Linked DNA regions of Oreochromis niloticus. The protein of the gene in region 1 purifies or fractionates together with the protein of each later gene. This does not show direct contact. Links are inferred from orthologs where the notes say so. Each region holds a gene or a part of one and is shown on either strand. Other genes may lie near its edges.

Region 1 (7,701 bases):
GATCACACGGATCACCTGACCCGCTTTACGGACACGGTCTGGGATGTAACTAGGGTCGCAAATGAGCTGCTTACAACGAGCCACCTGCAGTGGGAATGAGACAGTAATGATGTGAGTCTGCTGGATAAGTATATTTGGCTGAATAAACCTTAGGCATAACCACTTTAAAATTTGGAATGATACTGTCTAACTTGCGTAGCTGTGGACAATAAAGCAGAATCTGCTTTACCTCGCCCTCAGACTTTACTCCAATCACTTTTCCACCTTCCATCACGATCTCATCCACAGGTTTGTTCAGCATGTAGGTTCCTCCATAGATTGCACTCAACCTAAGATTACAAACGAGTATGATTCGTTAACTCGAGGAGTGGTTTTGATAGTTATGATAGACTCCATCATAAATATCATAAGTTTAATTTAAGTTAAAATACCTGGCAAAGCCCTGTGGCAGTTCTCCCAGACCATAGAGGGGATAGAGATAAGGGCTCTTGCCATACCGTGCCAGTGATTCACTGTAGAGTTTGATACGGTTGATCGTCTCCAAACAAGGAACATCAAGATAGCTGAAGTGGAGCAAAAACAATGTGAGAACTCCATTAATATCTATTTAAGCACATAATAACAATAAACCCTTGGTATTCCCTGATAAGAACATCTGTGACTCAAATTTGAAAGCATGCAACTGTGACATTAAGCAGAATTAAACCAATTAAACGGCTGATAATGGGTGATGTTGTTCTTACTCATCTGTCCTGTAGAGGGCCAGGGCGTGGCCAGTGAAGTCAATGACATCCTGACCGAGGTCAAACTTCTTGTAAACATCCCTCATCGTTGTGGTTTTGGGGTCCACGCCCTCGAAGGTCTTGGGGTCATTTTCATCAAAATTGGCCACAAAGACTAAAAACTTTCGAAACCTCCTCTTCTCAAACATTCCCATCAGATCTGTGTATTCAAACCGAGGTTTCAGCATTCTACTGTTGACGTCATTGCGTGCAAAACGTGATGAGACAACGTTCAGGTGACTTACTTGAAGCTAGTGCCTCAGTCTCAGTTGATGGCACCTTGTAGATCTTTCCTCCTTTGTAGACAAAGCTGCCTTCCACTACTTTAAAGTCCAGATACCGTGTCACTTCTGTGTATAGCAGCATCTTTACAAGCTGACCTGCAATCAGGGAGGCAAACACACGCAACATCTTACAGGGGATTTACGGTTCTGTGTTAAATCCACACTACATATACAACAAAACCACAAATCCCTTGAAAGCCTACGACGTAACATGCTGTAACATGACGTGCACCTCCCTGGAAATATAAGTATGTTGCATTAACACATCCCACAACTATTGTATTTGGCCCGTTTAGTCTGGTCGATTCCTCCTATGCATTTCCAGCTACTTTTTTACCCTAGTTTTTGAATGGATCACTAAGAGGACAACAACCACCGCCTCAATGTAAGAACTCAGAAATGTCATCAGATTCCTGGTGGGGGATTTTGAAAACTACTAGAATAAATATGAGGAAATGTACAAAGAAGTGGAAAAACTTTATGGACAAATATGTTGGCTTCTGAAAAAATATTGATTGGAACAAAGATTAAAGGCCAGGAGGGAAAAAAGTCCCAGCATTTTATTTGTTCCTGTCACGAATGGCACTGCTTATAAAACACCAGGACATGGTAAAACACCACCCACAAGCATTAATGCTGGCAAAGGTGTTGGCCACTTAAATAGGTTACATTGCAGGGTCTCCAGAGTCACCTAAACAAGCAGTTAGTGTGTGACCAACCTTGAAGAATTAAAGCATTCTGCAGTTACAATATTAAGCTCCAGAATTACCCTCTTGAATAGTCTGAAAAGCACTTTGGCTCTTGTGTACTTATCACGTGCTAACTTTTATGGCATTTTTTTATATAATTAGTAATAGGATCCTAACCGTTGGCCATGAGAAACTTGGGTATGAGGTCAACGTTCCAGTCACGTCCTCTGCCCATTGACTCAGGTGGGGTATCTGGCAGACTGAAGCGCTTGTACAGCTGTGGAAAAGGACAGGAAAGCCTGTGAGGCCCATCGAATCCGAGGCTTTACAGAGGATAAAGCAGTTAGCAAATGAAGACAGTAAAAGGGTGACAGATGGGACTGGAAGTAAAATGAGATATACTGAGAAACATTAAAAGTTTATTGATTGGTTTTATAGATCCCAGAAGTCCTTACCTCCTCCAGGGGTGTAATGGAAGAGCTCTCCCCACCGTAGTAGGGGTTTCGGTCCATGTGCAGAACCTTCTTGCCATTCACGGACATGATCCCGGACAGAATGCATTCCTGCACGAAAGCGGATTTATTTATCCAACACATCAATTACATCAATAACTCTTAGGTATAAAACAGCCCTATAATAAATCCTTCTCTTGTCAAGGCTCCAGTGTTTTAGAGATGTGTTGAATCATTCATTGAGGGGTGTAGTTTAAGTTGTCAAGATGAGAAATGTTTCTATTATTTGGTCTAGACCTTTTTACAGCATATCATTAGAGATAAGCACGCCGCTTAGTTTAGACACTGAATGTAAATGGAAGTAAGGAGGTTCTGACAGAAGGATGCGGGGGACAGTGGAAAAGATGTGCGCATGCGTGATTGTATCGCCTTAACAACGTAGCTACGACAATTATAATAATAATAACAATAATAGTAATAATGTTATTAAAAATGTATTACATAGAAAAGAAAAATCCTGTGGATATGCATCGTCGTATTTGATTCCATTTATAAAACTACCAGAATATCGGCTTCCGTGTATGCAAAGAGCTGGGAGAAAAGCACAGAAAGCGCATTTCTGCCGCAGAGGGTGTGATGAGTGAAAGGAAAGTGCGGCGATAGTGGCAGCAGTGAAAAGCTCTGTCATTTAATAAACCGGAGCTCAGGCCTGCGCCAACCTCAGGATGGAGGCCTGCCTATGCAAAGAGGACCATGACACACTGTGGGGTTACGCCTAAAAGATGCTGCTGGGTGTAACACAACACTGAGCCGGCTGTGACTCTGGGAAAGCAAACAACTCCCGGTCGAGCAACTGTTTGCTTCTTGTCGTGTACAAGCAGATCAGCTGGTGCGGTTTATTTCCAAAGCGCATCTCTTATGATAAATTTCTAATGTGACACGCACGCCGGGATGCAAGGGGCTTTCACTCCTTGGCTAGGATAGAGGATAGCGGGCCTCTGGTCTGGCTAAAACCATCATTTGGGAAGCTGACACAATCAATTCGGTGTGTTTCTGTGCAAACAAAACAAAGCTTGACTACTCACTGTGAGTCCGGTGCCCAAAACGATCACATCATATTCCTCATCCATGTTGTCTCACCGCCTCTCCCGTCTCGCCCTCTTTTTGCCTTGAGAAATGAAGGGTATTGGAAGCAAATAAAACCGGTGAGTCCACAAACCGGGTAACTGTCTCTTACTATCTCTGCACAGGTGCTTTAAATTGCTCTTCAAAGTTAAATATTATTTATTAATCATTGGGTATAAATGACCAATGGAATACACAGTCCACACTGTCACCGGCGAGGACGACCAAAGATGGCCCTGATCGTGGAGCAGTCTAGAACAATGTCACTGCGCGTCGGTAAATAGTGCGCATCCTCCTTCCCTATTTCCCATCCTGCCACACAATGGGCTCAAGCTGCAAAGCGGGAGACGCCGCTTTGAGCCGGCTTTGGCGATAGTTTATTGTGCACACGGGGTGTGCTGTTGTGGAGTTTGGCTTTTGTTTTTGGCCATTTTGAAACCACGGTGTGTGTGTTCTCTAATTTCTTATTCTATCTTTCCTTCCCAGTTGTAGGCGCAGCGTTGCGTGGATGAAGGCAGAGATATCCTTCCGCTGCCACAGCTGTGTGGATGGGAGTTGCTTTCACTGACTGAGCGCACGCACTCAGGCCCTTACAGCAGGGGTGTTTCCAGGCTTTTCTTTTCCTTTTTTTAACGGGGTGGTACAGGGGGTGTAGGGTGGGGGACCAGGGGTAAGGCAGGGGATCGTAATGTTTGATCGGATTTAAATATTATTAAAGAAAAGTGTCTTTTCTGCAGCCCTGTCTCCTAATAAAAACGGTGTTACACGAAAAGTAGTGCTGCAAAAGATTTGGATAACCTTTCTGCAAAGTGGCTAAACAAGCATTTAGGCCCCTTTTTAAGTAAATGTCACATTCCTATTTAAGTAGTCTGTTTTGGCTGTGAAATGCAACCTACAGTCCCAAGTAGCTAAAGTAAAAGTATTTGTTGTACAGAGTTAATTATGCAGTCATGATCACTGAATGATTCATATATTATCCTTTTTACATTACAGTGATGTTGAAGTTTATCTATGCCTTACATATGATAATATCATATAGGAGTTCAGTAGAAGGATAAGCATAATTATGCTTTTTGGGACAGGTAAAATGCTAAGTAACTACAGCATTACCATAACTGTTATTGGGCTACTGTTTATTTAATTATTAGTAATTATTAATCTCTGGCTGTCTTCCACAATGAATCTTTTATCCTGGCTTTCTCCCATCACCCCAACCCACTGCAGCACACGGCTGCCCCTCTCTGAGCCTGGTTCTGTTGGAGATTTCTTCCTGTTTAAAGGGAGTTTTTCCTTCCCATTGGCACCAAGCGTTTGCTAACAGGTGGTTGTTTGATTGTTGTTGTTTTTGTTTTTTGAGGAGTGGCTTTTCAATTAAAGAAATGTTAAGACTGATTTATTTATCTATTTATAATTTACTTAATTACTTATTTGTAATTGTTAGGACATGAAACAAAGAGGGAATTAAACAATTTAACTCTTAAATGCTTAAGAGTTTCTTAGACAATTAGGCTACGCCCTAAGTGAAAGTGAAAAAAAGAAAATATGGATATAAATGAAGTGATAATGGAAGACTCTTTGTTTAAACGCACACACACACGCACACCATACTTTAAAGAATCAATTGTTCTGCTAAGCAATGTGCTGATGGGCAGCTGATGGTACTGTAGCGGTTTCGCTCCTGGAAATGTTAAACTGTTCTCGCCGAGAGAAACTAAATAAGAGCAAAGCTGTAGTGTGTCATTGGTGTCAGCAGCTGCTGTGGGCTGTTCGGGCTGAATGAAAGAAGGAGGAAGTCATCTCTTCAGCACATGACTGTCAGGTGGTGTGGGTCACGTGAGCATAGAGTTCCGGAAAAGTCTAAACGAAAATGGCAGGTTCGAGGAGCTGCACTCGGTTAATGGGTGTTTGTATTCTACTTTTCGCCCCTTTTTTCGCCTTGGGGAGCGCCACGTCTCAAGTGCCTTTTCTTATGTGGTCCAGTGAACGGTAATATTTAGTTTTTCTTACTAATTCATTCAGCAGAACTCACTTTAACTACCGGCAAAGTTATCTTGTATGCTAACGCTGATGCTAACTCTTCTAGCTAAGTGAGTTTCTACTTTGCTGCCCAACCTTGCAAACACTAAGCGTTTAAAGTCTAGGAGCTAAATATCTAGAGGAGTATTTACACAGAAATTGTAGATATTTGCTTGTGCGTTTTGTTACAATAAAAAAATCCTAAAAGGTTATTGTGAAATCCAGCTCTTGTTCATAATGGCCATCCTTTTATTTCTTAATTTTGAAATAATCCACAGAAATAACGATTCTCCATGATTTAACCCCCTAAGGTGACGCTCTTTAGCACTAGTAGATATGTTAATGTTGTTGATCTTCATTTGCAAAAAAGCAAAGTAAGCTGTAAGATTAAAGATAAAGAAGAACTTTATTGTCATTAGTTATACAACGAAATTTGTTCACTTTTGTACATTAGCAGCAGACATGATATGGAGTAAAGGAGAGAGAGGGAGAGTTAGCTATTTTGTGTTGGGGGGAGCGGTGACACAGGCTACAGCTCTGGGGGATGCGGTTCTGATTGCCCTATATCTCTTCCGCGATGGGAGGGGTACAAAAAGTCTGTGACCTGGATGATGCAGCTAGCTCGCTTCTGTAAACGGCTAGCATAAACGGTGTCAAGATTCGGGAGTTTGGTTCCAATGATCCCCTGGGCAGTTTTGACGATCAGAGCTCGACGGTTTTCTGCAGTGCAGCTGAAGTACCACACTGTGATGCAGTGACAGAGGATGCTCTCTATTGTGCTCCTGTAAAAGTTTACTAAGAGCTGGGTTGGCACATTTGCTAAAACACAGTTTTGCAAGAGTTTTGCAAGTGTACTACACTTCTTTAGGATGGCGCACACAGGAATTTAAAATGTGGAAGTATACTACTGTATGAGGTGGTGTGTTAAGCAGGAGGACAAGGCAAGGTTGATATACCAAAATAGTTTTCTTTGATGATAGGATGAATATCTGATTCATTATTTTTGTTGTTGTTGTAGTTGTTGTTATTTAGACATTTATCATTTTTGTATAATGTTATGCCAGCTTTACAGGAAACACATTTTTGTTGGGGAGTATTCAGAGGTTTCATTTGATTGACTGATGGGTGGCTTTTCAAAATAAAATGAAGTACTGTGCTTCATAATAAAAGCCGCTGGGGTTTTTCAGCATTTTCAAAAAATGTGTCAATGCAACTGAACCACTTAATATCACAATTCATCTTTATTTTTTTCCTTATGTTTAGCTTGCCACCACTGGCCTCACCTGCAGCTGGTCATATAGCATCTTATGAGCAGCTGAGTGCCTACCTCACCTCTGCCTTCAGCTCTGGCTCCCACACTGTGCTGCTGTTCTTGCAGGACAAGGTCAGTACCCGACACATGAACTAGATTCTGGCTCTGTAATGGATATGTTTATGTCACTAAATTGTTCACCCTTCGTTGATTTGAAAGCTAGTCCTTTTATATGCAAGTTGTGTAAAATGGGGTAGTTGTACTGCATTCCCATGTGACACTGCAACAGTGTGGTGTGACAGTGAGTTTTGGCATTACTTCCCATTTCTCAGTTCCTCTGTGATACATCGGGTCTTTTTTGTGGTGGTGGTGAACACTCAGTGTTGTGACTGAGCCATATATTTATATTTTCCCATGTGATATTTTTAATCATTGTAATTGTCATGAAATTGTCATTGTAAATCCTCTATAACTTTTAAACAACTACACAAGCACAAACAAGATATTCCTTTAGATATAGCTTGCGTGAAAAGCGTGAATGCGACAATGATTTCATTCCAGTTTGTTGTTAATTGAGGTATTGTGGAGCCGCCAGTTCACTCACATTTTGGCACACTAGCATACTGTCATGCATACAGACAACAAGTCACTCAAACAGACATTAAGATTTGAAATGTAGTTTTTCCTAGTATTACTGAAACAAAGAAAATGGAAGAAGTAGCAGATAATAATTGTCCAAATTAATGTAATTTGTTTATACAGTCTGTATTTTTTAAGTATGTTAAATGCAAACTGAGCCATTAAAAAAGAATTCCTTTAAAATAATGTCTGATTATGAATGGCATTAAGTCAATTTAGCTGCTAAAATAAATTAATTGCTCGTGGGTTAATGGGACTGATAAATGTTTCAGTTGTTTAAGTCTTCCTGAATTCAAGAAACAAATATTTTTTTTCCCTTTTTGTATTTAGTTAAGCAAAGATGACTTCACAGTCTTTGGTGGAGTATTTGGGAACAAGGAGGATAGTGCTTTTAAAAACATTGAGGTATGTTTTTATAACACATATGTTAGTCCAAAATTAAGATAGTTTTTCCCTAGACTA
Region 2 (8,108 bases), on another chromosome or scaffold:
TGATGTAACTTGGGATGAGGCTACGAAATCGCTCTTGTCCTGCTGTGTCCCACAGCTGCAACCTAATCTGTGGGGGAGGAAGGGGAAGGGGATGGAAAGAAAAAAAAACAAAAAAACCCAAAACGAGATGAAAATGAAACAAGAAAAACAAATACACAAATGGGGTAAGTTTATGTGACAAAAAAAATTAATAAAAGGAAATAAAGTTGGACTAATGGGAAAAGATAAAGAGAGAGAAAGGTGAGCACGTAGTGCATGCAGGCAGTGAATAAGCACCAGAGAGAGCTAGCTGTCTGGGCCTTTGGGAGGGAAGAAAGAAGTAATCACCCTTCACTTGTCATCAGCCCTCCGCTCTGGATCAAGTAAGGTGTTTAATTTCAAAACGGTGATGAGAAAGTAGATGGAAGGGTAGGAAGGAGAGGAAGAAAACTCATGTTGAGGGAGGAAATGAACAGAGAAAAGGAGGATTGTCCAAGGGGGATACAACACTCCTGATCACAGTAGCAATGTACAAATGCTGTCTCTGTGTGTGTTAGAAAGAGCCCAGTTCAGTGGCTAAAGAAAAGCAACTGAACAAGAAGAAGAAAAACAAAAACAGAGTTACTGGATGTGACAAAAATAAACTTACTGTTCTGTCTTCAAGATACATAGTTTTTGACAGGAAATCAATTCCTATTGTGGCCTGAAAAAAAAAGAATCAACCAAATATTCACAGTCATTTCCAATGAGTATTGCTGTTGATATCAGGCATCATCAATGATTATTAAAGTTAAAAGTGGAGGTGTTAAGTCTCACTTGGTAGGTGTTGTCGAAGCTGTCGTACATGAACCTGGTGATCAATGAAGTCTTTCCCACTGCACAAACACAAACAAGAAACTCTTAAAGAGTGCAATGACCACACGATCACTTTGATTTTGGAGAAGAATTAGGTCCATCTTTTCCCCTGGAAAAAAGAACTGCCTCTATAACTGAACCTATTCTACATTTCCCCCCAACTAGAAGAAAATTTAAAACTGAAAATGCTTTTTACACTTTCTGAGCACCCAAAGTCTTCAAACAGATTATTTTATCTGACCAACTGTCTAAAACCTAAACATATCTAATTTGCAATAACATAAAGCAAGCCAGCTGCCTTTAACTGGAGCCAATAGGATTCTGGTAATCAAGTAAGTTCACTAATAATTTCAGCTGTAAGCAAAATAATTATTTCAGGGCTAAATAAAAACTACGCAGATCTCTGAAAGCTTGCAGAAATGAAATGTGTTTAAAGTTATTCAACCCGAAGCAGCTGCTGTGGCCCTTTTCCACAGATGATGACCACTAATAACAGAGTAAAGCAAGCAGCTTCATGTCACACAACTCCCACTGCCCTCTTCAGACCTCTTGTCCACTAAGCGTGTAGTGCACAGCTGTTCAAAGTAATTCAGGAGTCAGAGGGTTGAGCAAAGCACAGAGAGAAAAAGGGCTGTAAGCAAAGTTTGCCATTTATGTCTGAACTCCCCCCACCAGTGTATCCAGGGTGCTGATTTGATCCACAATGGAGGGTTTGTGTCCATATGTAATATGAAACTCTGTAATGTTGTTCAACACACAAAACTACGCTTTACAAACTTTGCAGCTGTAAAATGCTTCAATTTTTTTCTAATCTCATAGAAAAACATTTATGAATACCTTTAACACATCAGGGACAGTCACACAGCAGCTCTGAGTACTCGCACAGTGCTGCCAGTTCTCAGACTGTTTTTGCTGAGCTCGAGTTACATTATCAGTTACAATGTCCATCAAGGGATGGTGACAGGGCTACAGACAACACTGCTGTTTACAAGGCTTAAAGGAGCCACAGCTTATCACAGACTGTCCGAAAAACGCAGTGTGTCTTTCCCATCTTGGTGGGACTTACGGGTCATATTATAGCAAAAACATTTATTACAGTTTTGTCAATAATGTCATCAAGTTTTGGCTTCCTTATTGCTTCCTTAATTCTTTCCTAGTTTCATTTATCACAGCAGCTTCTCAACTCACATCTTTTCTAAAGAGATCTGTATTATTTTATATACAGTCTATGGCACAGTGCGACTGAAAGACAAGTTTTATATTTTGGGAAAAAGGTATGCAGGGACTCTTTCTACGTTTGCATTTTTTAATGTTCTTGGGTATGTCTTATAATAAATATTTGTGCAATGTAATGGTTTTGACATTTCTTGTAATTTCTTCAGCTTAGATGTTTATTATGTATTTAGCTTCCTTTTTTGTGAGTGATTGGGTTTGTTATTCTTCTCACATCACAGCAGGAGAAGCCATGACTTCTTTGTTCCTTTCTTGCTGGAAAATTATGAATAAATGGTGCAAAATCTCATCTTGACAATAGCCCCTTTTTTGTCTTCCCTATTGTCCTTTGGTGGCTATCTGAGTTCAGGTTTGATCCAAGTTTCTCTTTACCGAGAATTCCAACTTCATACTGTTTTAATAAAGCAACATGAAACAGCTCCTTCAAATATGTTGCAAGTATATTCCAAAGAAAGAGACAACGCTGGACCAATAATCCAAATTCTACTTTAAACCCTAAAATCTGTGGACACCGCGGACGACACAACGAACAGCCACACAGCTTTACCTAAGACATGAAAAACAGCCCACACGAACCCTCTGTGTAGACACTGAAGGAGTGTAAATTAGTAGGGAGATCGCAGGAATGCTGCTTGGCAGGATCGTCCAATTTGGAAGTTGCTCCAGGGTAGAAATTATGAATTTATGATCACTCTAGTATTATGAACATCTTCTAAACACAGCAGGGTATGACTGGAGTTCACCTATCCTACAATAACGAAGACATAATGCTGGTGCTTCATATTTTAACATCCTGTTAAATGACACTTGGTAATTTCCGATGCCTCCGTTAATGATGTGTTATCACAGCCCGTCACACAACTGAAGTAAGAGTCCATTTTCACAGACATGACTCATTTTGAAGGAAATGAATCACCTTTTTAATCAGGCCAAGGCGAAGAAACTGTTCGTAACAAGTTACTGTATCGTAATGCCATCACTGCCAAGTGTTAACGATACGTGGCTAACGTTAGCTAGCTAGTTGGTTGACGTTAATCACCCACCAAACTCTGGTGTTAGCTAAATGTCCAACAGAGCAAAAAACTTAAATCCTACATCCCACAACACTTAAAATTACCAGCAGACTTACCGCTCTGTTCACCAAGAAAGACCAGTTTAAATTTTCTTAAAGGGTTTCCGAAGTCTCCGGCCGAAGACATGACTGAATCAAACCTTGACGTTACTTTTCGGGAGCTTCCTAGCTAGTCAGCTAATGCTAACTAACCAGTTGTTGTCAGTTATCAAATGTCCAGAAGCAGCGAAAATGAACAGCCCCACTCGTGGCTGACTTGAGGAAATTTTGTGCTCGAAGCGTATTCCTTCAAAGTCCAAGTCAATATTAAGCACCTCACTAACTACTGCGACCAAGTTAGCGTTACTCTTCTACTCTGTCATATACACCAAACCAACCAGCCACCTCGGGCCACTCTTCTTCAGATACAACTTTATGGATTGATGTGTCTTGGCATGTTGCGGTGCTGCCCTCTGCTGGTGGAGCAAAAAACCCACAATGAAAAACCAGACTGCCCCTTTGGCAGAGCAACGCACTGATACATATGATTCAGTGGATTTTTTTTTTTATTTCACAAAGTTGGAAGCATTATGAGGGAAAAAAAACTACCGCGCTAAGGCTGAAAAAGAAGGAAAAGGCAGGGTGTGTTTTTTTAAAGCCCACTAGAGGGGGTACTTTCATCACAGGTGAGATTTCACTACTAAGCAATTTTAATGGGAATCCCAATAATTTTTAAACCTAAAGAATTAGACGGTGACTTTTACCGATGGTTAAATTACATGGAAACATTTTTTAACATCCATCCATCCATCCATCCATTCGCTTATCCTGTTCAGGGTCGCGGGGTGGGAGGTGGGAGGGGGGCTATCCCAGCTGTCTTAGGGCAAGAGGCAGGGTACACCCTGGACAGGTCGCCAGTCTGTCGCAGGGCTAACACAGAGACACAGACAACCATTCGCACTAACATTCACACCCGCATTCACACCTATGGGCAATTTAGAGTTTTCATTTAACCTATCCCCACTAACTGCATGTCTTTGGACTGTGGGAGGAAGCCGGAACCCACGCAAACACGGGGTCAGCACTTATGATGAAATCCTTCAGAAGTAGAAGATTAAGGAAGACAACAAGCACTAATAAATGACTATTTCTATTAAAAACAGTCCCCAGTAGTGAGTAAAATTTACATTAGAATTTCTTTCTTTGTTACTCAGAGTTTTTAGGTAAACTTGATTTCATTTTTTTCAATGTAGAATAAACGTTGTTTAAAGAAACTGTGTAACACTCCCATATAGCATTCGACAGTGTTAATCAGTCCTGTTGGTGCTGAAAGAATGGCATTCTTTTTGTTCAGCCTATTTTTAAACCTCACTGCAATGTGCACATGTTCAGCCTTATATTCGCTCTATTAATGCCAGGTTTTGCTGGTAACCATTTAGCATCAAGCCAACTGGCATTAAGAGTCCTTGTGAAGGAAATTAAATCACAGTTGAGGGTAGCAGTTTGTAGCTGTGAAAGTGGATGTCTGACTTGTTAGTTCTATTATGTCGGACACTTTTAAAAAATTGGTATCAGCCTGTGATGTTTACAGGACCCTGTGTAGCTTTTATTGGATTACTCATGACCTTCAGCTCATCAGACAGCTGCTGTCCTGAAGGATGAAGCCCCGAGGCAACATACAAGGTGGTTTACTTACTCCACCCAAAGACAGAAAAGATAAGATAAGATAAGACTTTATTGATCCCATGGTGGAGAAATTTGTGCGTTACCTCAGCTCAGGTGCAGATAGCAGAAGAAAAATACAAAAATACAAATAAAATACAAACAAATACAAAATAAGTAAAATAATACACTATACACAACGATAAAACACACGGTACATGATTATGGATAGAGGGATGTATGAATGAAAATGCTGGCATGAAGGCTTCATGATTTAATTACGTGGCACTAATTTGTGCTGCAGTATACTTTATTCTACCTGTTTAATTCTGTTAGTGTTTTAATAAATTATATAAATGATCCACTCTCATATACAGCAATGAACACTACACCTCTGCTTTTTTACCTGCAGTCATTTAAATACCAAATCAAGATACTTATAATCTCCCACTGACTGATAACCATCTTTGGTCTCAATATTTTGTCATTCCAGCATCCTTGTTGTTAGGGTAATTTAATTCTTACATAATTCCTATTAAAGATACATGTGCTGTGTAAGGGCATGTATTATTTGTGTGGACATACCCATCCTGATGAGATCAAAGATGAGCTGAAACAGAAAATAAATTAAAATGTCAGAACCCTACAGATGCAAGTGTTTTTTTCAACTATTAATTAACCAGAGGAAACACATCTGACTTCACCCTACTGTTCACTAGCCTGGATTACGTTTACATTTTAGGGGTTTTAAGTATAAAAGGCAATGCATTATTAGTGTGTAGGTACAGTATGTGAGTTCATGCCTGCTTGAGCCAGCTGTTCTAAGTCACTGAAGAGAAGACACACCTGCGCCCCGCTCTCATTCATGTGCCATGCAGCTCTGAAGTCTCTTTGCAGAGCAGCTGACCGGCTGATGCCAGCCCTTCAGCTGCTCTGGTTGCGACCCGCGCCTCATTAAACTTGAGCCATCAACTTGAGCCGGCTGCCTCTCCCCTCCCTCTTCTCTCCTCAATAGCACTCCTACGCCACATGTCCTTGGCCAGGGAAAGACCCCAAATCTCCCGCCCCTCCCGCTGAAGATGCTGAATTAACAAATTCTCCATTGCTCCCGGTCTCCCTCACTCAGTCATTCTCCGCCTCTCACGCATAAGCATACAGAGGGATGCGGCACGTGTGTTTCCACGCGCACAGCAAGACGGATTGCGCTGTAGACCTCTGTAGAGCTTGTGCATTTTGAATGTGCTCATTTTTGAAAAATGCATCAGCACCCTGAATTGAGGAGGTGCTATCAAATTTCCCCCGAAGCTCCTCAAAGTCACGCACCTTATTCGGCAAGAAACTGAGCTGTCAGCTTGAAAAGCGTGTAATCCAGAATCAAAGGAGCATGACTAAAAGGAAGCATGGTGCAAAAGAATCGAAGCTGTCACCTCAAGTCATGACTTCATCCTGGTGCGCTGGTCTCATGTCAGGCCACCACACCATTTACTTCTGCAAAACTTGACTCAGTCTTCTAGATGGGAAAACCTTGCTATGACTCACATATTGGGGAAAAAAAGTCTTTATTTTTTTCTTCTCTTGTTCAGATAGAGACAGTGTATAGGGGATGTTTGTGCATTATTGTATGAATCTGACCGTATCCATGTGCGTAATGGATGGAGACCATCACATTCCCACACCACCTTGATCTAATGTCAATGTCACACCAAAGTACAACACTGTGCTCATCTCTCCTGTGAGGGAGACTGAACGCAAGGGCTCTAATGGAGGAGAGACTGATGAGGAACAGAGAGAAGATGAAAAGGGGAAATCGGAAAAAAGGGGTATGAAGGTTAGGCCAGGGTAAAATAGGTGTGTTGTCATCCCCAATACAGTAAGATAGAGAAAGGGAGGGGATATGTGGGGGATGGGGTGGAGCAGAGCTACAATTCTCCTGTAATCCTCCTCCTGGAATCATGAGGTTAGATGATGAGAGGGGGGGAAAAAACCAGGAAGAGAGCATTTGAAGTGAAGGGAAACACCGTCGAGCTTCCAGACTGGAACAAAGAACTGCAATGAACACAGGGCAGGAGGCGCAGTTAGATCACAACTCCGTCTTTTCTGTGCAACATCAGGCAGGAACAGGCACAGCAGTACAGTGGGAGGCATTCTTGCAAGCATAACCGAAGCAGAGATCAGAGTAGCAATCCAAGCACATTTACAAGAGGAGGCAGGGAAGGAGGGAGGGCGAGAAGGAGGGATGAGAGAGAGCAGATCTATGAAAGGAGGAGGAGGGGTGTTGCATGCTCACAGAGTGTGACAGAGATAGAGCGATGAACGAGGCTGAGACACAGAGAGAGAGAGAGGGAGAGAGGGGAGAGCACAGAGCAGAGATGGGGACCGAACGCTGAGACAGAGGTAGTTGGCAGGACTCAGATCTGCAGAACAAACGTGAGGAAAAGGAGGAAGAGAGCGAAGGTGAAGGAGAGCAGGAGGGAGAGAGGCGGGAGGGAGGGGGGGTGCAAGATGATGGAGCCCAGAAATAGGTTTCTCAGGACAGCTTTTCATCCCTGCAAGACATGACTCTTGGTGTTGGACTGTGCTGAATTTTGCCAGGGGGACAACTCAGGACAACACAGGACAACACAGGACAGCAGGTCTGCAGCACATTGACTGGGTTCAGCCTCACTGGATGCAGCAAAGCAGCTGATTTATTACTGAGGGGCTGGGTGGCAGCGTGTTTGAGTGTGTGTCTCTGAGCGTGCGTGTGTGCATGTGTGTGTATGCATGTGTGTGTATGCAGGTTTTTATGGGTCCTTGTAGCACTCAGAGCTGTGGGAGCGACCATTCCTCCAGTCATGAAATGACATTCAGCAGGCAGGAGCTTTGTGTGCTGGCGTGGATCTGCAGTCCTCAGTAGGAAGTGCGAGAGTGGGATTCAGAGCTGTCATCGAGTGCAAGTGTGTGTGTGTGTTTACAGTGCCGTTTGCTGAGGTGAGCCAAGGAGGATCAGCTGTATGTGTTGTGTGTGTGTGTTTAGGTTGGAGTAGCAAGGGTGCAGCAAAGGCAAAGCTTCTACACAATGCAAGGACGATTGCAGAGGAGCACCGATGGCAGTGAGTGCAGCTAAAGTACAAGGAGTGCCCTGGGGGTAAGGTGGAGGACAAAGGCAGGGACAGAAGAAGGAGAGGGGAAGGAGAACAGAGGCAAGTGGAAAACAGAGGGTGATCATGGCTGTCATTCAGTGAGCTATAGCATATGCTGTAGCGCAGAGCGGAGTAGTGCGGCAGGGGGAGGACAAGCATCACTGCACAAGGGAGGGGGAGAGACTACGGGAGAGAAGGTGGGGGAG
Region 3 (8,551 bases), on another chromosome or scaffold:
CGTCGGTTGCAGTGGTGTAAAGGGCACACCGCCACTGGACACTAGAGCAGTGGACAAGTCTGAGTTTGGTGGTTGCCAGGATAACAGCACTTGTCTGACTGCAAACTCTTAATGCTTCAGCATATCAAGACACTTTGGTCCATTTCATGATCCCTATTTTGTGGAAACAGTTTAAGGATAGCCCCGTCCTGCTCCAACATGACTGCGTATGTTTACTTACACAGTAAAGTCCATAAATACATAGATGAGTGAGTTTGGCATGGAAGCATTTGACTGGCCTGTAGAGTCCTGACCTCAACCCGACACAGCACCTTTAGGATGAATTAGAGCAGAGACTGCAAGCCAAGCCTCCTCAAACCACATAAGTGTCTGACTTCACAAATGCACTTCTGGAAGAGTGATCAGAAATTCCCATGAACACACACCTAAACCTTGTGGAAAGACTTCCCAGAAGATCTGGAGCTGTTATAGCTGCAAAGGGTGGGCTGACATATTAAACGCAATGGATTAAGAATGGGATGAGACTCAAGTTCATATGAGTGTGAAGGCGGACGAGCAAATAGTTTTGTCATTACAGTGCATCATCCTCAACAATATTAGAAATGTAAATGCATTTCTTATCTAACACAACCCCCTTTCCAGCTTGCCAGCTCTGAGAAGCTTAGCTTTAACCCAAAGTTAACAGGATTTCTTAGTTTTGCCTATAAAACTCAGAATGCAAGTATAAATGCACACAGTTAAATCCATGGATTAAGAATGCAGTCATATCCATGGATTTGACAGCTTATTTCACTCATTAAATATGGACTTAAAAGGTTGAAAACTTGATTTCCATCCTAGGAATCTTTAACATGTGGAAATTACTGGCATATTTACTGTCTAATTTGCCTGAAGAAATTCCCTAATGTAGTGCTGTAATTTACAGTAAACAGTCAGGAGCGTGCTGCGTCTTTCAGACTTACACCTCTTCTCTATGAACTGGTGCAGAAGACACGATTTCCCCGTTCCAGCATTCCCAATCACCAGGAATTTAAACAGGAAATCTGCAAAGGAAAAGCAAAGACACACATTACATCAGTTGGGCTATTATTATCAGACTATATGAAACTAGTTGCTCATATAGACGCTAGCTAACACGACAGGAAATTACAACAAAAATGTGGGAAAAGCTCAGTTACTGTAGTCTTAGTTTGGTATTTTCCAGCTCGTTTTTCTTGTCAATTTAGTTTCACTTCCACAGTGAGTTTGCTCGTTTCATTTTAGTGTTTAGCTTCAGTACCAACTTTCTTATTTATTGTAATCTGGGTTGTGCTTTTCAGAGGTTCAGAACAGATATTATAATACAAACACAGGCAGTTAGCTCACAGTCATCTCACAGTCATTCCAAGCCTCAATAACCAAATGTACCAAGGCCTAATAAAGCTACATGTGACAACAAACTAAACTAGTTTAGTTTAATTAGTCAATGTCACCTCAGTTAGTCCATCTTTAAAAAACACAGTTTTATTTTTTAGTTTAGTTTTAGTGAACTGTAATAACTTGACCTGAGAGATAAAACTCATCCTTCAGTTGATCCATCTACAAACTCAGTTGTTCTTAAGGAAAGGAAACAGGGAGAAAAGGTTGAGGTATGCCAAATTACACAAGAACTGGACTGAAAATCAGTGGCAGTTTGGGATCATCCTGATAGAAATCAGAAATAAAGGCAGTCAAAATCCAAAGAAGAGCTTTGAATGTCCTTTTAGAAGCCCAGAGAACTATTCCTGAAGGCTACTTAAAGAAATTACAAAAAACTGTCTAACAGAGCTCAGGCTGTGCTGAAGAATACCAAATCATACCAAATCCTGACTTTCACACTCATTACAAACTCTGTTTTTGCCTTATATTCTGTATTTCCATATATTTTTGCATGTTTCAAAGAAAGTGCTGCACCTATTTCTTATTTTCCTTGCAAAATATAAACAAATGAGGGTGTGGTTCAAGTTCCGTAAACATGACCTTTCAAAATATTCTAGAGAAATTAGAGACTGTAGCTTCATATATTTTATAGCTCATTTAAATTTAGTTTTCCCCCACTTGAGTGGTGAGAGTTACCGTCACTGTTGTGAAGTCTAGTAAATCCAGTAATCTCTGCAGTAGCCTTGCAAACACCCTTATTTACCACCATATACTCCTGTAGTATTATTATAGCTTAAGAGGACTAGTACATTTTTTCATACAAGACCGAAAAGAATCACCTGCGATAAAGTACAATGCAAAATCAAGATGCAGACAAATCATATCACCACATCACCACAGTCCAGCACAGACTAAACTAGAAATTTGATTTTTGTCTTTAATTTTCTTGGCAGGTGTTCCAAATGGGTTTCAGATATATAAGTGTGACAAACTGTGCACACCGGCTCCCAAACTCCATTTATCAGTCAGGCTCAAGCATATGCTGCACAATACTGTGATGCTTTGGCCATAATAAACTGATGTTTAACAACAAACAGCGCCTGGCTTTTCTTGCTTGATGTTATAGCTTTCAAATATTGATATAGGTATTATCCTAATAAAAAACAAACAAACAATTAAGCCCCCCCCCCAAAAAAAAAAATATTCTGGAGGCTTTGATGTAGGCAAACAAAAACTACAATCAGCTGTTCTGTGCAACGGAGGAATTCATCCACTATTAAACCACTAAACTAGCAAAATAATCATTATTTTGGTGTGAAATGGTCAAGCTAAGAAAACAATGCCTCATATGTGGCTGTAATGTTGCAGCTTAGTCAGATATTACAGCTGCACCAAGCCCCAGCCAGGTGTCAGCTTCCCCTGTCTTTTTCGATACCCTCCGGGGAGCTTTGTAACCTTGTGCCGGGGGTACATTTTTTGCACACGGCGACACTAAACTCTGCTGTACAGCCTTTGTGGGTTTCCTTACGCTGACGAGGCAACTTTTAAGGCCAGCAGCCTTCAGCGGCGGCTCGGTTAGCCTGTCAGCTATCTGTTTACGATGAGAAAAAGCTCTCTGGGCACACCTGCCCCATCCCATCTCTGAGGCTACGGGAGGATGATAACGGTGGCCGCCGGTCAAAAGTGCTTTCTTACCGTACGACTCCGACATCGCCAGTGTGGCGGTTTGACAGCAACAAAGAAGGGAGGGAGAAATGGGAGTTGACAGATGGTTAGCTAGCTAAATAAAAGGAAAATACTCCTGTTGGTGATTTCCGCGGAGTCCAGCTGATTTTTCCCTCCGACTTCCCGTACGCGGTTTGTTTCAAAATAAAAGCCGTCTAACCGAAGAACCGTTGGATCACTGTAAAGTCTTCAGGCAGCCGCAGGGTGGAGCTGTGTCTGCTTGAGACTTTTGACACAGACTTGGATGCTATTTAGGTCACTTTTTACATGTGACTAAATGAATAAATATTAAGTCTTTTATTTTGAAATTGGATGACGTTTCCTAAGGTGATCCCTAAAACATAAAAAAGAATTTTTTTTAAATTTATGTGCTACACATATCTGTACACTGAGACTGCTCCAATCAAATTTGACCTGTCCCGACTGAAATTAGCTTTAAATCCACCAGTGTAGGTCAAATCAAGGAAAATGTCATATCTGTGTGCATTATTAATGGGATAGTGGTAATAAAGGTAAAACTATATGTGTTCCCATCACTCCTGTCCCAAATCTCTTCAAGAGGCACTGTTGCCTCACAGTTGGCTTAAATCCTGGTTTGGGCTTAGCTGTGTGGAGTTCACACAGTTTTCTTTGGGTACTCCAGCTTCTTCCCTTAGTCTGAAGACATGTATGTTCGTGCACTGGTGATTCTAAACAGATCACGGATGTAAGGTAGTTGAAGTTTATAGAAGTCCTGCATAAATGTGTAGTTGAAAGTGTTTTGAATCAATAATAAGACTAGAAAAGCATTACATAAATGCAAGTGTATTATCTGAAGGTGCTTTGCACCTGCAAGCATAGTACACAATGTAAGTTAACAATGCAACAATACAAAAAAAAAATCAATCTTTGGAAGCTCTACTTGAGACTACGAGCAAAATGGTTAAGCAGAAAAAAGCAGAAACTAGACCACAAAACTAACTGAGGGTTTCAAATGATTTACAGTTTCACCTAGTCTAGAAACAGAGACCATATGAAGTCCATCAAGAGTGTTCCTGACCATTGGACTGCTTAACAAAGTGTTAGGAAAGGAAAAGGAAAAAAATAGATCTAATGTGAGCAATTTTTTTAACATGGAAAAACTTCCAAAGCCTCTCACAGCCATTAGTCAAAGCTTCAATGTCAGACAAATGCAGGATATTTAACATATTTAATGTCTTACAGAATATTTATTGATAAATTAAACCTTCTTACCTTACCAAGTGTCAGGACTCTTCAAAGCTTTCGAAGGGCAGGGTTTCCCTCCACTGCTCTGAATGCACAGACTAGTTTGTGCACTAAGTGTTACTTACATTACATTATTATACATAAATAAAAATAGTAGTCATGGGGGGGGAGAGGGTTACACAGAAGTGAAGAAACCCTAAAAAATACACTCTTCTTATGTCAGACAGACATTCCAAAGTACAAGTAACATGCCCATGCTGGAGATCTTATAATTTGATGTAGAGAATTTTTTTTACATTCAACAATATTAAAATAACATAATAAAAAATGAAGTTAAAGATTTTTTTTTTAAAGTAAGTGAAAAGACTGACATAAAAATAATATGTACAGTACAGGAAACAGCAGCAAGAAGATATAATACATACATTTGTAAATGTGTGTAGAAAATTATGTCCTGATGGGTGTGTTCAACTGTCACAAAAAAAACTGTTTTGTTTGTTTGTATTTTGTATTACAGTTTTTCTGTTTGTTTGTTCTTTTATTTTAACAAATTTTCTTTTCTTTTCTTTTTTTTTTGTACCTCTACAAATGAGGTATCTTCTGTGTAAAAACGCACAAATGTGCATACATTTCCATTAAAGGAGCAAGCAAGCAAGCAAACAAACAATTACAAGATACCATAAGAAATGAATCACTTTTCCACCATTTTGGCATAGAAATGTTCTATAAATCAGCCCTTACAGCATAAATAACAGATTATTTAATAGTAAATAAACAAACAAACAAAAGCTGGAAAGGGTAAAGAAAAACAAACTAAGTGATAGCACTATGAAAGTTCATCAATGTATTTCCTTTTTAAATGTTCTGCATAGATGTGCAAATGAGGCAGATCTGGTGTGGCTGCACACCATGCACATAAAAGGAGTGTTTCACAGTAAAAGAGGGCTTCATTAAACCTGTACATAGTTTTGGTTTGGTTTATTATTTGTTTTAAGAAAAACAAATAATAAACCTTGAAAAAAATAGATTTGTCCAGCTCAGGTATAGAATTTCCACTTTTAATTAGACATTGTAGTTACTGTGTGTTTTGCTTGGTGCAACCCGTACTCTAGAAAACTGAACATTTTTAAAGAAATATTAAAAAAGTAATTTGCATATATGCCTTTTAATTTGCATAATATTTGCTACATCTAACTTTTTTGGGCTTAAAAATGTCTTTATTTAGGTTTACCAGGGTAAAAAAAAAAATCACATTGATGAAGCCTAAAAAAAATCAGGTCTCAAATATAATACACTTGACATTAAGGGGTTACAATATGTTGGGAAAAAAATGTTACAAAAAGGATTAACATGGTTCTCCTTTTGTGTGAGGTCAAATGTCATCTATACAACAAGTGCATGTTTTAATATTATGTCCAGGGATTAGTTTAAAATTCATCAGTGGCACAGAAAATGTCCTGCAGCGGTAGAATGGCAGCAATTCTATTACATTTTCATGCAGTTGCTACATCCGGTGATTATATTTGCTAAATAACATAGCAAATATAATCAAATTCTCTGAACTTCATTATCTGTGTTAACATTTCAGTGGGAAAGCGGTGAAATTATTGCACAGGAATGAGATGGAGACGCAGGATGAAAAAATAACAAACTGTAAATCTAAACCAATCAGCAGCAACGTTAGGATCAAAACCACTGGCATAATCGAAGATCCTTAGGGTCATGTTTGAGGCACTTTTGTTACCAGGGAGAGCCACGGGGGCTGGGGGTTGGTGTTGCTTTTGTGGCTTATCTCAGTGTGTGGAGAACCTTGAAGTGTTTAGGGAATCCACAGCACTGGTGTATCTTTTGTATGCATTAAACATTTTTGTGTTTCTCAGCCATTTTGAGCTGCTAACAAGCACAAACGCAAAGTTTTCATCATTATTCTGCTGTCAAATCTGAAAGTATGATTTGCCCCATACTTGCCTGAGGCAGTTTGGGGGAGTGATGGAATACATGTACCAGCATTACGTATTTAAAATACAAAATATGAGTAACTGTATTCCATTGCAGTTATCGTTTTAAAAGGTGATATTCAGAATACAGTTATTTCGTTGAAATAAATAGATTACATAGTGGTCTTTTCCTGTTTCGTATGTTAGGCTATGCCCTCTCTATTTTTGCTAATTCCACACCGGTGGAAACCCAAACATAACACACATTAAGAGGCTCTAATGCCTGTGTCTCAATCTCGCGGCCCATGTCAACTCTACTTGGGGCCCGCATAATGACTTGAAGAAATATTTTTAAAAATTATTATTCAAAAAATTATTTAATATGAAGGCAATAGGCAGAGTGTTACAGGCATAGCCCTAAAGAAAGTACGAGTTGTCACTGACCAGATACGGGAGACGGAAGCATGTAAATATAATAATAACCACTGCAGCCAAAAAGAGTGCCTGATGAGCCCAGTTGTAAGTAAGCTATTAAGACTCGACTGTACACTGTGTTCATCAAACAGTAACTTCTATCGGAGGAGCCTTTCAACACCTCTCTCTGTCTCTCAATAGCAAAGTTGACCCAGACAACAAAGTAAAGGTAGTTTTTGGCTTCGAGCCTGACACAGAACCCAAAGTATTAGCCAGAGGTCCCTTTACTACTGTTTGGAGCCGTGGACCTGTTTTATATACGCACAGAATTGTTTTCTGCCCCTTCGGACAAGCACGTTAACATTTGCCTCTGAACAGGAAGTTACCTGGATCACAACGTATGCAGAAGTTTTCACTGAAGCAGGAAGCAAAGTCTGCCTTGCACCCTGCAGGCCAATAGGAAGCAACATAACCTGTTTGGTTTTTTAAATTAAATTTTGTTAGTAGCACAGGAAATCAATTCAGGCCACATAAGTGATCTGAACCAGATGAACTACACTAGGGTTTTTGCTACTGTAAACCTATTGAGCCCTTCAAAGTCCTACAACTGACTGAACACACTGGGCTACATGCTGAACATAGCGGATAGAAGCAAAGTACCAAACCTATCAAGCTAGTATAGAGCCAATACTAACACCAGTATTAGTATAAATACCATCAATATTTTGATTGAACTGCCCACCTCTAGTTTTAGTTTCATCTTGGGATTTCTCATAATTCTTGCTTGTATGCACACATGGGATTACTTCAAAGCAAGTATTGTGTCACGGTCCTGGGCCTGTGGCCCAGTGTTTTGATTCTATATTATTGTTTATTGGGTTCTGTTTTGCTTTTCTAGATTTCTTGTCCTTCTGGGTTGTGATTTCTAGCTCTTAGGTTTTAGTTCTGCCCTCATGTTCCTCCTGTCCCTGTTCTGTGTTCCCTCTGTACTGTGTTAGTATTGTCTCTGAATTCTGCCTGTGGAGTTCCTGTTTTACTTTGAAGGTCTTGTCTCATGTTAGTGTATTCTGTTTTACTTCCTTGTCCTTACTAGCCTAATGAGTCCCAGCTGTGTGCCCACCTGTTACTCGTTTCCTCATGTGCCTGCCAGTGTATTTTAGTCCCTGTCAGTTAGTTCTTGTTGTCGTGTCGTTAACGTCAGTTCACCCTCATGCTGTGTGGCTCTCCCTGTGTTTCCTGTGAGTTTATGTTGTTTCCCAGTTTAGTTTAGTTTGCTTTGTATGCTTGTTTTCCCGTGCCAGCAAATAAAGCTGAGTATTTTGAGTTCATCCCTCGAGTCTGAGTCCGGCATTTTGGGTCGACCACTCCTGCTTGCCTGCCTGCCACACAGCCAACCATGACATACTGTCTGTATAAATACCATGCTTTCTTCTTACAACAAATTGATCAACAAATCGATTTACTTTGCCTTACAGAAACCTGGTTTCAGCAGGATGATTATATTAGTTTAAATGAATCAACACCCCCCAGTCATTCTAACTACCAGAAATCTCGAATCACAGGCTGAGGGGGTGGTGTGGCAGCAGTTTTTCACACCAGCCTATTAATCAACCAAAGACCAAGACAGACTAGTAATTCATTTGAAAGCCTGATGCTTAGCCTTGTCCACCCCAGCTGTAAAACTCAGAAACCAGTCTTATTTGTTACCATCTATTGTCCACCTGGGCCTTACACAGAGTTTCTGTCTGATTTCTCAGACTTTTTATCTGATTTAGTGCTCAGCTCAGATAAAATAATTATTGTGGATGATTTTAACATCCATGTAGATGCAAAAAATGACAGCCTCAACATGGCATTTAATCTGTTATTAG
Region 4 (8,039 bases), on another chromosome or scaffold:
CCTTGCACCTCAGTGTGCAGATAGCAAGAAGATCTACAGTTTTTATTCAGAATACACAGATCCTTACAGATACTTTTATTCCTCGCTCGTTTGCTTGCTTCCATTTACCGTTATTCTAAGCCTGAAGCCTCGTAATATTAACTTTACATGCAATTTGCATTTTTCCCTAATATCGTAGTTTGGTTTTCTGTTTTTTTTTTAATACATTGGAATATAATATGACTGTCATTCTCTGGGTTGGCCATATGAAGCCAATTTGTTTTTTCCTTGTGAATACAGTCAGTTTGACTGGGAAACCCAGAGTTGACTTGTCAAGTTGATAACAACCCTGGTGGATTGCCTGTGATAGGGTACGATACAATTTTGCAGGCATTTTCATTACGTGAGGAAAAAAAGGTCTTCTGCTACAGTAAGCCCAAATATTATAAAAACCTAATGAAGTGTAGTCTGCATTACATTTCTTATATTATTAGTACCAGGATCTGTGGATAAAAATATTTCAATCTGGGTATGTCACCAAGGAGCTTCATCAGAAAATATTTTGAACACATAAGGTCATGCTGTGCTTACTAACCACAAAGAGCTGCTGGTGTACTGGCCAAGGTGAGACCTCACTGACGTCACTCTCAACCACTGATAATAAAGTACACTTATTGCAACCCACTGATGGGGTATGGACAGAATCACTACTATGCTAAGAATAGCATTTGCTCTGTTTTGGTTTTTACCATTTTAACCACACAACTATTATAACATTTTAATTAGGAGGAGGAAGGCGTACAAAGGTTCTAAGCATTTTTTCATCCCCTATGTGTTTATAGGCCACTAGTGCATGTCATTAACTTTTTGTCTACTCTCCTCTGTAGTTGGTGTTAACTCTTGACTATTGTGCATGGTCTTTCTTTGCGTTCTTTTACCCTTTACCCCTAGATTGGTGATAGTAGATGACCCTGAGCTACTGTTAAAAGGGAGGGTTTTTTCTCCTCCCACCATCAACAAGTGCTTGGTTAATAGGGGATCATTTAAAAGATAGTCTCACTACCTTACAATATAACATTGAAACAACTGTGGTTCTTAGTTGGTGCTACATAAAATAAACTGAAATAAATTGAGAAAAGAAGATTGTCGGTACTGGAAAATACTTTATTTGCTTCTGTTGATGCATTTCCAACCTGGCTACCGTGTACCCCGCCTCTCACCCTATGATAGCTGGTATAGGCTCCAGCCCTCTAAATAGGATAAGTTAAAACAGGGATGCATGGATGGTTGTTTTGTGGGGTAGTGCAGGAACAGATCATGCAGGAGCTTTGACAAACGACACCCACTCAGTGTAAATTCACAAGACAATTTCCTGCTTTATTCTCACATGGTCTCTCAGTTCTCCTAGGTCAGATCTGACAGATTCAGACACGACTCCACCGAGTCTTGACTACATAATTTCACAGCTCATAGGTGCAACCTTTAGGAAAGTAGAACCGTTTAATGTTTTTAGATAGCCAAGTTAGGTCAAATGCATTCACACAAATTTAGTAGTAACTGCTTAGTTGTTAGGCAAAAAGAGCACACCAGCACCTCCAGATACTCAAGATATCAGTAAAGAAATAGTGATGAGATATTCCTAGTAACAACAGCAGTACCTGATATAAACAAGCAATCTGAAACCTCAGACAGCATGGTGAGTAATAATGATGTTGTTTACATGATGATGTTTAAAAGTAAGATTCCCATTGGAGACACTGGAAATCTGTACAAAATCATGTTGACATGGAGAAACATGCAAAAAACACAGCTGGAATACACCCAGTAAGCCAAACAGCAGCTTTTGTTAGTGAAGCCTGCATGCTGATAGGACGGACAGAGAGACAGAGGACATGCAACAGGCAGGAAAGTAAAGGAACTGGTCACTTACCATATCTGTAGTCTAATCTTCTTCCCTCTCAACTCAACCGTCTTGATTTTGAAGTCAACTCCTATGAGGGAACCAAAACATGTGAACAGAGGCAAATATAAGCAATTCCTTTGTTGCTTTGCCTTTATGTTTAGCTAAATAGCTAACACGGTATCCAGTAAACATATTTTTAAGTTCAAGACTCTGCCCACAAGTTCTAGTGTTAGTAGATTTAATAGATGTGGAGGACTCACTGAGTCAGCCACAAAACAATACAAGCCACATTGCATCACCCAGCTCGTCTGAGGCAACTTTTTCAGACAGGCTGGGAGACTGTAAAACTATTCCCTCTGTGGTACCTAATCAAAGAAGCATGTTATTAGTGACACATCTCACACAATTTATGAGCTGTGTCAGGGAATGACAGGGCACAAAATGGAGCTCTGCTATAGCAGCTGCTTCTGTTAGACTATTTTGGGACTGGACACTATGGCTGGCTGCCGGACTGGTCATAGGACTGTTTACCCAGCTGAATGTATAAACAGATCTCATGTATATTTTTAATCTGCAAACACGACTGGCAATTTGTCACAAGGCAATCTCGTGTTCAGTAAGTAAACATACCAGTGGTCAAATAATCAAATAATTAAAGAATGTGTTTTTATGTAGAAATATGCAACATGTTAGTTCTCTGTGTAGAGATACATCAGTAAAATCAAGGTGGTATTGGATAAGACTACTTCCTGGTTAACATAACCAAAACAGGCTAACTAGAAGTAAACATAGTAATTCAGACCCATAATACCTATAATATAATATTCTGCAAATATTATCAGAACAGTAATAAAGTACAATTATTCATTCGTATTTAATTAATAAAAACGCTGTCCTTTAGCAGAAGTCTAAAATCTCTACATGCAAACGTTAAAAAAAGCTTAAGGAAACCTAGTTCATGTGATTGAAGTCAAAGGAAATGCTATTGTTACTTCAGTCACCATGGTCAACTGGCTAAGATACTGTTATCAACATACCTAGCGGGCTACAGCTAGCATTAGAAATAAAGTTTAGTCGCTATGCCAGTGAACTTGGAGGATTTATGGTCACTGGGCGCACCCCACAGTAGTTTAAGCATTTCTCCTCGAGTATTTAGCCGGAGCCGTTCTACATGTTTTAGCTGATTAAATGAAAAGTTGTCAAAAAAAACTAAACCTTTTAATGCCTTCTGTCCTCACCTACGGTTGACTTGCAAGCTTCGCAGAAAGTGTCGTCGGTAAATCTTTCCATGAGACTTGTTTTACCAACACCACGAGAGCCAATAATGATAATCTGAAGTTTGAAATCAGCGGGTCTGGGAGGCATCTTCCTGCGGCGTGACTGAGCCCCCAGAGCGGGGGACGAGTTCGCGGAGCCCCCGCCGCCACCGCCGGCGGCCCTCCGTGGAATATCATACCTCGGATCCATTAGTAATCCCACATTTGTGACTATAAGACGAACAGACAAATAACCCTAACCGGTTATAGAAGCAACACAAGCCGGTATCTCTAACTTTCTTTTGTCTCTGATGAAGTTTGCGAAAGTTTGTCAGTCGCAGACAGTTGTTGTTGTTCAGCCATTAGAGACCGGGGCCACCGTGATGTCATTTCCGCTTCCGGTGGCTATGATTTCCATTTTTATACATTTTTTTAAAATTATAAACAGAGACCGTTTAATCACTTGTAATCAGAATGAATTACTTTTACATGTTTTTTTGATTTATTAAACGTTTTCAATAAAAAAAGGAACCAAATATTAGGCCTGCATGTAGAGAGACCTACTAGGTCTGCATGTTACAAAGAATGGGATCTTGAATAAGAGTTCTGGTAAAAAACAAACAAACAAACAAACAAACAAACAAAAAAACAGGGCACATTCTCTTATAATGTCAATTATAAGAGGATGTCAATTATATCAATTATAAGATTTCAGTGCATAATCTGGTCCTTATTAGGTCTTACAATTGGGTAAATAAAGCCTCAGAAGAATTACAAAACATGACATATTATACCCTGTAATTATTTATTTAACAAAAATTAAGTCAAAATATAGAGGTTACATGGTAAAAATAAATACACCCTCCCTTCCCCCAAAAGAATTAAGAGGGTAAGTAGAGGTCAGATCCTGGTAATTAAGTGCCCTTGATTATTTAATCACCAGCAACTTCTGAGCATTTCTATAAAAGACGTTTTGGCAGTTTGCTAGTCTGGAGCATTCGGGTGTGTGTTAACACAATGCCAAGAAGGAAATACATCAGCATTGATCTTACAGAAACAATTGTTGCTTCCCATCAGTCTTGAAAAGGTTCTAAGTCCATATGAATTTCACTGAATTCCATCATTCTACACCGAGAAAGATTATTAACAAGTGGAAAACATTGATATCAGTTGCCAGTTTGTATTCAGAGTGGATGTCCAAGCAAATTAAGCACAGGCTCTGGGACTTTGCAAAAAAGAAAAAACAAGAACTACAAATTTCACAGACCTCAGTAAGCATGTTCAATGTTAAAAGTTCATGACAGTACAATTAGAAACAGACTGAACCAATATAGCTTGTTTGGAAAGTTTGCCAGGAAAAAGCCTCTTTTCTCTAAAATGAAGACAGCACGGCATTGGTTTGGAAAATGGCCTCAGAATAAACCACGAGACTTCTTGTGGCATGTCTGGCAAAACCAAACACAGCATATCAGCACAAACACCTCACACCAAATGTTAGCACGGCTGCAGATTGGGCTTGTTTCATAACCACAGGACCTGGACTCCTTGCAGTCATTGAGTTGATTATGAACTCCTCTGTATACCAAAGTTTTCTGAAGTCAGTTGTGAAGCCATCTGTCTGACTGAAATTGGTCATGCAACTGGAGAGTGAGCCCAACATATAACACAATGACTGACAAAAGAAAATAATAAAGGTGTTGCAATGTCACAGTCAAAGTCTGGAATTCAATCTGATCACAGTTTTGACCTTAAGAGAGCTGTGAATAAAATGATGCCCCGCAAACCTTTATTATTGCTTCAAACTATTGCTATAAAAGGTGCTACTGAATCATGGGGTGCATTCAGTTTTTCACACACTGTTTCTACGTTTACTTAAATAATGGCACAATGTAATACATCATGTTTTGTTGTTCAATTCAAGCTGTATTCATTTAAACTTAAGACCTACCAATGACTAATTCATTTTTTTTGCAATATCCTGACATGTAAAACCTTAGAAAAGGGGGCAGATATACTTTCTTTTCACCATGAAAAAAAAACGTTTTCTTTTTGTATCACAACTGAGATTCTTGATCCCTTTAAAGCCCCTGTAGGTAAATTTGTGATATGTACAAGTTTTATTTGACTTGAGGTTGCAGTCCAACAAACAGGACTGTGAATATCTAGTGTAAGTGTGAAGAATCAATGCAAGTTGTCCTGTTTTCTCACAGTCATATAAAGCTCTCAGGAATTCTGCTCAAGTGTATTTGATTTAATGTTTGGCAAGGAAAAAACAGTAAAGACCACAAGGGAAAGTGCAGTTTGACAAAGAGAACAAAAGAGCACTGTCCTATAAAGTTTGACGTAGCTCTCATAAGCATGGCAAACTGACTATCTGGTGCTTTGCCAATGGTATTAACATGTACGGGTTCCATACATTCACTCCACACACATCTGGAAAATGTTAAAGAGGCCCACTATGTCAAGTTGCTATAGCCTCCTGCGCCTTCACTTGTCCTCAGCTACGAAAAAATAACAAAAAAAAAGTACAGAACCAGTATGTGATTGCAAATTTCTGAATGAATACAAGATACTTAAATAAATACACTGTGAACTGAAGATAATCAATGGGCCCACGCCCTGACTTAACAGTGCCTATTCGCTCCCTGATGGAAAGTTACAGAATTAGTTGTGGGTGGTTTTTTTTGTTGTGCCTGCAACCTTACCAAACACTGGTGGTGTCATGGTGTTCTGTTAGACCTGTTAGTCATGGAGGGTTAAGTTAAGGCCCTTGCAGTCCTGCATTAATTTAGCACTCTATTTTTCTTTATATTTACAAAACATATTATCAGCAAACATTAGACTGAAGCTTTGTGAAACTTCTGGAATTTGAAACCACACTGCAGACTCCCACGTCACCAGACTTTCTTGTGATTGCTTCCAAATTCATAATCCAGACTTTGAGCAAAGGCTGTTGTTGTTTTAAACTGAGCTTATAAATGAGTTGGTTTTAAAGCGAGGGCCTGAAAATTACATTGTTTGTAAACCCTAGACAGTAAACACCTAAACCTTGGGATGGGAATTAAAGCTGAAAGTCTGCACTTAAATCACACCTTGATCGTTTCATTTAAAAATCCACTGTGGTGGTGAACAGAGGGGAAATTGCCAAAAAATGTGCCATTATGGATCTGATTGTATAGTCTTTCATTTAAAAAACAAAAAGCAAATTCTTTAGCTGCATTACAGTACTAGAGCCAGATTTTCGCATTCCCTGCTGTTGTTTTTTTTGTCCAATGCGGCATCCGTAACTTGCGACAGCTGGTGACGTTGCGGCCGAGGAGGAGTTCCTGGTAATCCAAACATCGACGAAGCAACATCCATAGTCGTTTATCAATAACATATTCCTCATAACCGAGTTGATCGATCAACATCATGGCTGCTCAGAAGATAAACGAAGCGCACGAGCACATAGCTAAAGCGGAGAAATGGTGAGCGAGGACAAAAACGATTATTTCCTGCTCTGTAGTTTTACTACTCACGTTAGCTAGCTGTAAGGCCACTGTGTATTTTCTGTTGAAAGGTTATGCGACATAAAGTGACTTTATGGTTATTTATCCATCGCACTATAGTTGTATTATTCGTTTATTATTTGTTCCTCGTGGTGTGTTTACAGCTTAAAAACGAGTCTGACAAAGTGGAAGCCTGACTTTGACAGTGCTGCATCAGAATACGCCAAAGCAGGTAAAACACGAAACGACACTATAGTGCTTAAAACTGGAGTGGGTTTTTTTAATCTATATATTAAAAATATATAATTTCACAGTGAGCTAACCTCTGTGCTTTGTTTCTAGCTGTGTGCTTCAAGAATGCCAAGCAGTATGAACAAGCAAAGGATGCTTATCTGAAGGAAGCTGAGTACCACACAGAAAACAAAACGTATCCTTTCCCGATCAAAGGAAAGGCACAAGTCTGCATATATTCTGTGCAATCGCTAGCCACTTTGTTAGCTGCTCTTTAAAGCAAACCTTTAATCAGCCAATCAGACAACAGAAACACAAAGCGTGCAGGCAGTGTGGGGGTGTAACCGTTTTTAACCCTGCACCCTGGATCCTGTAATAGCTTGGTCCAGGGTACCTGCTTATCGCAGATTTAACAGTGTACCATAGTTATTCTCACTAGGGGTGTAAAAACTCTAAAACCAAGACCAGAAAGACTCTGGCACAAACATACACAATGTATTATAATTCTGTCATTCCATACTGTGAGACCCACGTGGAGATATTGCATAGAAATATTGAAATGTCATCAGTTTATAATGAAAGAATTAAGTGACAAGATTTGTGGCAAACTGATTATTTTCCCATATGTATTTTGTTATTCAACCTCTCAAGGAAAACTAAGATTTGAGCTAAAACCCTGCCATCAAACCCTGGTAAAACAAATCTGGCTTTGAAGAATTATTACACCCCTGATTCTGATGAGTTTTCATTTCATGAGCACTTTATACGTTGGCATGGATTCATCTTGCCTTGTGTCAAAAATCGAAGGAGGTCTTAATCCAACAGAGCACCTCTGGGACGAAGTTGAACAGTAGAATCACATTTGTAAGGTGCTGCCCAGAAATTTGTAACAACTGTAATCCTGCTGCGTCTCCAAGGACCCAAACCTCTGAGGAAGATTTCTAGCAACTTGTTGATTTTTGCTAAGAAGAATTAAAGCAGCTTAGAAGACTAAATGTGCTCCATTGTGGCTCGAACTATCTGTAACTAAATCAGTGGCTGCAGATTGTTTGTAATTTTCAAGAACAAATGTCAAACATGAGAATTAGCGTTCTTTCATATATGATTGTTTCTGATATGCATTTGTGTTTTAGACAAACAAAGATGATACTTTAGACTGTGGGAAGTTTGTATCAGGGGTTT

What was found.
Region 2: the proteins of gdi1 (region 1) and rab6a purify together in Homo sapiens (affinity purification with mass spectrometry; 3 studies listed by BioGRID and IntAct, counting the BioPlex papers as one, with this or other methods). This does not show direct contact. The link is inferred for Oreochromis niloticus from reciprocal best matches to the Homo sapiens genes GDI1 and RAB6A.
Region 3: the proteins of gdi1 (region 1) and rab4a purify together in Homo sapiens (co-immunoprecipitation; 4 studies listed by BioGRID and IntAct, counting the BioPlex papers as one, with this or other methods). This does not show direct contact. The link is inferred for Oreochromis niloticus from reciprocal best matches to the Homo sapiens genes GDI1 and RAB4A.
Region 4: the proteins of gdi1 (region 1) and rab12 purify together in Homo sapiens (co-immunoprecipitation; 4 studies listed by BioGRID and IntAct, counting the BioPlex papers as one, with this or other methods). This does not show direct contact. The link is inferred for Oreochromis niloticus from reciprocal best matches to the Homo sapiens genes GDI1 and RAB12.

What each region holds. Positions count from the first base shown.
Region 1 is NC_031984.2:7,303,089-7,310,789, forward strand, and holds the start of gdi1 (rab GDP dissociation inhibitor alpha), read right to left. Parts: upstream 3,631-7,701; 5' UTR 3,338-3,630; coding exon 3,293-3,337; intron 2,319-3,292; coding exon 2,211-2,318; intron 2,033-2,210; coding exon 1,933-2,032; intron 1,163-1,932; coding exon 1,028-1,162; intron 943-1,027; coding exon 744-942; intron 564-743; coding exon 432-563; intron 330-431; coding exon 230-329; intron 85-229; coding exon 1-84. Other genes in the region: V-type proton ATPase subunit S1, read left to right, coding at 5,200-5,318, 6,612-6,732, 7,570-7,644. UniProt on the Homo sapiens protein: Regulates the GDP/GTP exchange reaction of most Rab proteins by inhibiting the dissociation of GDP from them, and the subsequent binding of GTP to them. Promotes the dissociation of GDP-bound Rab proteins from the membrane and inhibits their activation.
Region 2 is NC_031975.2:10,589,257-10,597,364, forward strand, and holds the start of rab6a (ras-related protein Rab-6A), read right to left. Parts: upstream 3,550-8,108; 5' UTR 3,267-3,549; coding exon 3,197-3,266; intron 855-3,196; coding exon 796-854; intron 683-795; coding exon 629-682; intron 68-628; coding exon 1-67. UniProt on the Homo sapiens protein: The small GTPases Rab are key regulators of intracellular membrane trafficking, from the formation of transport vesicles to their fusion with membranes.
Region 3 is NC_031965.2:25,563,020-25,571,570, reverse strand, and holds the start of rab4a (ras-related protein Rab-4A), read right to left. Parts: upstream 3,266-8,551; 5' UTR 3,110-3,265; coding exon 3,094-3,109; intron 1,044-3,093; coding exon 963-1,043; intron 1-962. UniProt on the Homo sapiens protein: The small GTPases Rab are key regulators of intracellular membrane trafficking, from the formation of transport vesicles to their fusion with membranes.
Region 4 is NC_031982.2:24,892,709-24,900,747, forward strand, and holds the start of rab12 (ras-related protein Rab-12), read right to left. Parts: upstream 3,516-8,039; 5' UTR 3,350-3,515; coding exon 3,121-3,349; intron 1,971-3,120; coding exon 1,910-1,970; intron 1-1,909. Other genes in the region: napgb (N-ethylmaleimide-sensitive factor attachment protein, gamma b), read left to right, coding at 6,550-6,605, 6,791-6,858, 6,969-7,053. UniProt on the Homo sapiens protein: The small GTPases Rab are key regulators of intracellular membrane trafficking, from the formation of transport vesicles to their fusion with membranes.